2 linked regions of the Cricetulus griseus genome follow. The protein of the gene in region 1 purifies or fractionates together with the protein of each later gene. This does not show direct contact. Links are inferred from orthologs where the notes say so. Each region holds a gene or a part of one and is shown on either strand. Other genes may lie near its edges. The genes, in order: Copb1 and Copg2.

Region 1 (3,822 bases):
GATAGCTGTCTCATAATTAGACCCCATTGACAATATTTTTCTTATGATAGCCATAGGATTACGTCTTCTCTTTGTCCTCTCTTCTTTCAAATATTTGATTTGTTTATTTTTAATTTATTTTATATGTATTAGTGTTTTGTCTTCAGAGATCAGAAGAGGGTGTCAGACTCAAACCCAGCTCCTCTGGAAGAGCAGCCAGTGCTCCTAACTGCTAAGCCATTTGTCCAGCTCTGATTTTATGATAGAAACAATTATGGTAGCATTGTACTTATTCTGTACTTCTATCTGCCTTTGAATTTTAGACCCAGAAGATTTTTTTTTTTGGCTTTCCTCCCTCATTTCTTTTTTTTTCTCTTTATTATTATTATTATTATTATTATTACTATTACTATTATTATTATTATTATTAATTCAAGTTAGGGAACAGGCTTGTTTCACATGTAATTCCCCTCTCCCTCTCCCTCCCCTCACCCCCATTCCTTCTCCCCCAGACCCAGAAGATTTTTAATACCATTAATTTCCCAGTATTCATAATACTTAAAATTATAGATTTCTTTTCATAAAATATCAAAAAAAATTTGTTCTGTTTGTTTTCTTGAGACAGGGTTTTTCTGTGTAGTCCTGTCTTATAACTCTTTGTAGACCAGGCTGGCATCGAACTCAGAGATCCGCCTGCCTCTGCCTCCCAAGTGCTGGGATTAAAGGCATGTGCCACCACCACCTAGTTCCATAAAATATTTTATAGTGAATAATTTTTATCCTTGGTTAAACTTCCTTTTTATTATAAATAATATATCCTAAATTCTAATCGGTGGCTACTGATTCAACATTTTAGTTTTTATTCAGTTGTTCAGATGGACAAGAAAAGAAAGTGTCTAAAGTTACATGAATATTGAGGACCCTTTTAAAAATTTTAATAAAGGTCACTCTGTTCATGCTACCCTTTTTAAAAAATGGCTATAACTGAGAAAATGCACATAAAATGTGTTATTTTGAGTTTAAAGGATTTACTTTGGTTTTTTTGTTTTTTGGTATTGGTGGGGGACACATCTGTTAAAGTCATGTGGTTTAGCAATATAGGTTCAGGAACCACATTAACTAAATTGGTCAGGGACCAGAAGACTAATCTAGTACCCTCAAATCCTGTGTAAGGCATCTGAGATTCAGAGACAAAATATTCAAACATTTCATTTGGATTTGTAACCTTATTACCAAAGCTGATAGTAAATTTAGTTTGTTTTGCTCATAGCCTTTTTAAACTATCCGAGGAACTTGGTTTTGAAATAATTATGCTTTTTTTGTTTTTTTAAATGATTGAATCAGAGAAAGGTGATGTGAAGTCCAAGACTGAAGCTTTGAAGAAAGTAATCATTATGATTCTGAATGGTGAGAAGCTCCCTGGACTCCTGATGACTATCATCCGTTTTGTGCTGCCACTCCAGGATCACACCATCAAAAAGTTGCTTCTTGTGTTCTGGGAAATTGTTCCTAAAACAACTCCAGATGGAAGACTTTTACATGAGATGATTCTTGTGTGTGATGCGTATAGAAAAGTAAGCCAAATCATAACTGTGCTTTGTTATTTTTGTAGTTATAAAATTGCTCTAATAGATACTTTTTTAGCTTTCAAAAATGAGATCTTTGATGTGATGAGAAATTGTAAATATTTATTATTGAAGTGTGTTCAGCCTATGGCAATAGGTTTAGGCTGCATGAGGTGGGGATAGCTGTGAATGCTGCTCAACATAAAAACCTAACATGCTATTTGATTCTTTTTGGTGGATTTAGGGCTGGGGGTTTTATTTGGTTTTATTTTTCTTGGTTTTTATTTTTCTCAATAGTTAACATAACTATTGAGTTAGTCTCAGTATGAACTTTTAGATGACAGTTTTATTGTAATGTTAAAAGATTGGATACACCTGTAAAATTTATGATAAACATTTTGTATTGTTGCCTTTTCCTATATTTTCTGTGTTATTAAAAAAAATGGTGAAATACATAAAAATGACTTTAGAGGAATCAGAAGAAAACCAGTAATCTAGATCTTTTCCCTAAAAGTAACTTTAATTTTTTCAAATTAGAAAGTATTATGTTTAAATCTTGATTTTTATAAAAGGCTGACTCTTAGGCTTATGAGATGGCTCATCAAGTAAAGTACTTGCTGCCAAGCCTGATAACCCAAGTGTGGTCCCCAGGACCCACAAGGTGCAAGGAGAGAATGTATTCTTGCAAGTTGTCCTTTGACCTCTGCAGAGTTTTCAAATACACACACACACACACACACACACACACACACACACACACACACACACACACACACAAATAAATAATTAAATGTAAGGGTTTTTAAAGCTGAAACTCAATGTTTCCTACTGTAATTTTTATATCAGGATCTTCAGCATCCTAATGAGTTTATTCGAGGATCAACTCTTCGTTTCCTTTGCAAATTGAAGGAAGCAGAATTGTTAGAACCTTTAATGCCCGCTATCCGTGCTTGTTTAGAACATCGTCACAGCTATGTTAGGAGAAACGCTGTTCTAGCAATCTACACTATCTACAGGTAAGGAAAGATATTCCTTTGCTTTATTTCTATTTTAAATGCTTTAGACTAGAGGTTCCAGCGTGGTTGGTTGCAGAATGTATGTACTTGTAAATGATGCATGGTTAGGGTGTTCCCTACAGTGACCATCATTCCTAATTGTGTTGTTGCAGTTCATTTAGTTCATATATCTTTACTTGCTAAAGGCATTGCATTTTTTTACCTTGTTTTAAAATTCTAATTTTGAACAGTATGGGTCTTGTATTAGAAGCTTTGAGGAAGGAACTCTTTTAATGAAAAAGGCTGCAGTTCTTAACTAATTCTTGTTATTATAACAGTTGAAAATTTAGTCTGGACGAGTGGTGCAGGGAGCCTGAGTCAGGAGGATGAGAGTCTGAGGCCAGTCTGGGCAACTTAATGAGTCTCTACAAATAGAAAAGGTTGGGGACATGCCTCAGTGAGTGAGTGTTTATTTAGCAGGAACAAGGCCTTGAAACAGTCATTAGAGTAAAATAATAAAGCTGGAGATTTTGAACTTTAAAACAATTGTAAGATTCAGAGGAGGCTAAAGTGCTAAATTGTTATAGTCATGGCTCTCAGTCCGTGTAAGTTATGGGGCTGGTGGTAGAGCTCAGAAGCAGAGTCCTTGCCTAGAATGAGTGAGGGTGGTCCTGGGTTGGATTCCTAGTACTGCCAGTTTAACATACAGTATATATCATATATTTTGTGTCTGTGCATGTGTGTGCACCTGCATGTTTGTATAAGCATCTATGTATGTTCAGGCTAGAGAACTACATTAGGTACTGTTTCTCAGGCACCATCAACCTTTAACTTTGACACAAGGTCTCTCAGTGGCTAAGAACTCACCACATAGTCTAGGCTGGCTCACCAGAGAGCCGCAGATATCTTTTTGTTAGTCATGTTCTCAGAGTACACATCATCAAGCCTGACTTTTTTTCCTCCCTCGCTCCCTTCCTCCCTTTGTGTGTTAACACCTTGGCTATCCTGGAACTCCCTTTGTGGACCTAGCTGGCTTCAAACTCACAGAACTCTGCCTTCCTTTGCCTCATAGAGTGCTGAGATTAAAGGCATTTGCCATCACGCCCAGCTTAGGGTTTTATTTGTTTGTGGGTTGGTTTTTTTGCATTGGTTCTTGGGATGTAACTTAGGTTTACATGTACTTTACCATCAAAGTTACATCTTCAGCCCCTGAAATGTTTTTATAAGTATCTTTGTACTTTACTATATTACTTGACTGAAACACAATTACATTTATCTTAATG
Region 2 (3,822 bases), on another chromosome or scaffold:
CTTTAGGCAGTTGCATGGTTTTAATCTTTGAATGAAATTCCATTTCTAGGGAAACGTATATTCATGGAGGTATTTTCTAATTTGGTAATAGCAGTTCCTATGAAATAATATGTATTTTTTAAAGTATAAAAGGGTCCAAAAGAATATTGCTTATCTCTAGTTCTTCTTAGGTTCCCTCTTACATGATTCTCTCCAGTTTTGTTTTCTTCTGCTTTTCTTGTTCCCATATAGCTAAAATATTTGATTTTCTGAGAGATGCTTGCATTTTGTTGACTTTTTTAATGTTCTGCTCCCATGTTTCCATGAAAAAAATAAGGCAGCTTATAAGTGTATAAGGCAGTTTTATATAGTAATCTTTAATTTGATTACTTGGGCTAGAGCAGTGCTTCTCAACCTTCCTAATGCTCTGACCCTTTAATACAGTTCCTCATGTGGTGGTGAGCCCCAACCATAAAATTATTTTCATTGTTACTTCATAACTGTAATTTTGCTAGTTATGAATTGTAATGTAAATATTTGTGTTTTCCAATGGTCTTAGGTGACCTCTGTGAAAGCGTTGTTTGAGATCTTTTAGTAATACAATTAATGACATTGCTTAAATTTAGGATTTTAACTCTCTTGGGTTTTACCTGAAAGTAACAATAAGAAAATGTCCCAAGATGAAAAGTTTTTCTTAATCATTCTTAATCATTCTTAATACTTGAAGCTGTTTGTTATAATCTTTTGATACATGTTTCTCTTCCTTCAGAAAGCTTTGATAAGAGGTTATAATGCTGAGCTTTTCCTATTTATAGGTCTGACAGTCTCTATACCAGGGATGGAAAAGGCCTTGCACCAGTATACACTAGAGCCTTCAGAAAAACCCTTTGACTTGAAGTCCATTCCTCTCGCTATGGCTCCTGTCTTTGAACAGAAGTCAGGTAACATAACTGTTTAACTCTGTTAGTTTTTCTGTGTGTAAGTAATTTATAAAAAACAAAACAAAACAAAAAAGAAACCTAGAAAAAGCTTTTAAAAATAGCATAGTTTCTCTCTTTCATTTTTTAAATTTTTGCTTGTTTGTTTTTTGAGACAGGATCTCTCTACATAGTAGCCCTTCCCTGAAATTCACTGTATAGTCCAGGCTAGTCTCAAACTCACAGAGATCCAACTGCCTTTGCTTTCCAAGTGCTGGGATTTAAGGTGTGCACAATTGGTGATCTTTTAGTACTAAGATGAAATTGTTTAAATTTAGAATTTTGAGACCCTTGGCGTTTTACCTAAAAGCAAGAATAAGAAAATGTCCCAAGATGAAAAGGTTTTTTTTGTTTGTTTGTTTGTTTTAAGTTATTTAATACAAAATGTCACACTACTTGAATCTGTTTGCCACTGTGTATCTGGTAAAAGTTACTGCCTTCATCTCCTTCTGTGGAGAGAAACTCACTTGATTGCTTACATCTGTCTTTGTAGAAATCACGCTTGTGACTTCTAAGCCAGAGAAGTTGGCTCCTTCCAGACAAGATATTTTCCAAGGTATGTTTTTATGAGTACAAGTAATAATCTTTATAATCCCTAGGTATTATGAATTAATAACATCTACTACCTTTATTCAATTTGATTAATTCTCAGTTCAGTAAATTTCTCATGTCATAGGTTATAGTGGCTGGAATTACCTGGTGTCCATGGACTTTTCAGTGACTAATTTACTACCTGGAAGTGTTGTTCTTGTGCATATTTTGTGGTTAAGAGGGAAAGAAATTAGCAATTTAGTTTGTCCCCTCCCCCTACGTATAGAAACCTAGTCTATAAACTTGATAACTTAAAGGCTTATTTCACAGAAGTTTAGAGACCACTGGTTGAGTGTTCAGTTATTAGTAAGGCCATAGAAATGAAATTGTCTTTCTGCTCTGTGGTAACTAAAGCATTTTAATAAAGTCCCTTCCTGTCTTCCTCATACTGTGCTTCTACTTTTCTTTCTCTTTGTGCTTAATAGAACAGTTGGCTGCCATTCCTGAGTTTATGAGTCTGGGGCCCTTGTTCAAGTCTTCTGAGCCTGTTCAGCTCACGGAGGCAGAGACAGAGTACTTCGTGCGATGTATCAAGCACGTGTTTACTGACCACATTGTGTTCCAGGTGAGAGAAAGAACTCTTGGTTCTTCCTATGTCTTTATATATAAGCTGGTATACTCGAGTCAAATAGCACTTTCCTTTAGTTTATGATTCTAGTTCCTTTCATAAAGGGTTAATTTAGTAGTAGTTCTAGTTTTTTGTTTGTTTGTTTGTTTTTTGTTTTTCTGTTTTTTCCCAGAAGTATAGAGGTTTCTTCTGATGATGGGCTATTCTTGATAACTATAATTTAAAAGAATATAAAATTGAATGTCTCAAGAAATGAACAATATGTAATTCAACTATTTTAAAAATCAGCATTTAAACAAGGTAAACTAAGTGGGTTGTTCAAAGAACTTAGATTTGAGAGTCGTCAGATTTCTAACACTCTGTAGTGACAGTATCAGGGAGAGAAACAGGGTGGTCCAACACTAGTCTGTGTTTCAAAGAGGCAGTCTAAGGGGAGGTATGAGGCCTGGGTTCAATCCCTAATACCAAAAGAAGAAAATAAAATCTTAGGAGATTTACAGTGTTATTTATAGTGTTGAATACAGTAGATTCCAGAACTGAATTGTGGACTATGAGTGAGAGAAACAACTCACTGGAAAGTATTTCTTAATCTTTACAACTTTTCTGTTGCTAACTTTTCAGTTTGACTGTACCAACACTCTGAATGACCAGCTGCTGGAGAAGGTAACGGTGCAGATGGAACCGTCCGACTCCTATGAAGTACTGTGCTACGTCCCAGCCCCCAGCCTCCCTTACAATCAGCCGGGGATGTGCTACACACTTGTTCGCTTGCCGGATGAGGATCCTACAGCAGGTACTGACTTCAGAAGGGAGAAGATACTTTGTGGTCTAAAAACCAGCTCTGGAGCTCTTAGAATGTCTAGCCAAGTATTGAACATTCAAGAATATGGTTCTTTCCAGAACTTAATGTTGTGCGGGTAGGGTATGTTTATAAAATTGGTTACTATTGTAGAAATACTACTTTCAAAACTAAATCTGTGAGAAAAACTTGCTAATGATAATGGTAAAAGAGAAACTGAATGTATTTAGTGACAGCCTCAAAAAGAATTCAGGGGTTATTTTTTTTGGGGGGGGGGTTGTTGTTTTGTTTTCATTTTTCATTTTACATACCAACCACAGTTCCCCCTCCCGCCCCTCTTCCCACTCTCCCTCTCCCTCACTCCAGCCTGTCCACGATCTACTCAGAAAGGGTAAGGCCTCCCATTGGGAATCAATAAAACCTAGCACATTCAATTGAAGCAGAACCAAGCCCCTTGCATTGAGGCTGAGGAAGGCATCGACCATATGGGAGGACTCCAAAAAGCCAGCGTGAACTCAGGGTTTCTATTGAAACAATGTAACCATGAGTGAAGGTTCTAATACCTGATATTTCTTTCCAGGGTTCCTGGGAAAACTTGGCTATTTAGCAGATTGGTTGGCATTTCAATACATTATTTTAACCATCTTGTAGTGTAAGACTGTGGTCTACAATGTTTCAGCTTAGTAAGTAATTTAGTTGACCATTTTGTGTCCATATTGAGAAATGCTTTATCATTTGCTTGACCTATGTTCAGTCTTGGTGGGGAGGTAGTATAAGGGGTCTAAAAGAGAGCCAACTGCTACTGTGAGATGTTTATAATTTGAGGATTTAGAATGGTCTTGACATTCTAAATCTAAATGGTCTTTTAAAAATGTTGGAATCTGTCACACTTGAATTCTTTACCCCAC

The links.
Region 2: the proteins of Copb1 (region 1) and Copg2 purify together in Homo sapiens (affinity purification with western blotting; 4 studies listed by BioGRID and IntAct, with this or other methods). This does not show direct contact. The link is inferred for Cricetulus griseus from reciprocal best matches to the Homo sapiens genes COPB1 and COPG2.

The regions. Positions count from the first base shown.
Region 1 is NC_048596.1:86,412,709-86,416,530, forward strand, and holds part of Copb1 (coatomer subunit beta), read left to right. Parts: intron 1-1,323; coding exon 1,324-1,553; intron 1,554-2,390; coding exon 2,391-2,560; intron 2,561-3,822. UniProt on the Homo sapiens protein: The coatomer is a cytosolic protein complex that binds to dilysine motifs and reversibly associates with Golgi non-clathrin-coated vesicles, which further mediate biosynthetic protein transport from the ER, via the Golgi up to the trans Golgi network.
Region 2 is NW_023276806.1:197,046,605-197,050,426, forward strand, and holds part of Copg2 (coatomer subunit gamma-2), read left to right. Parts: intron 1-794; coding exon 795-920; intron 921-1,449; coding exon 1,450-1,512; intron 1,513-1,972; coding exon 1,973-2,112; intron 2,113-2,736; coding exon 2,737-2,908; intron 2,909-3,822. UniProt on the Homo sapiens protein: The coatomer is a cytosolic protein complex that binds to dilysine motifs and reversibly associates with Golgi non-clathrin-coated vesicles, which further mediate biosynthetic protein transport from the ER, via the Golgi up to the trans Golgi network.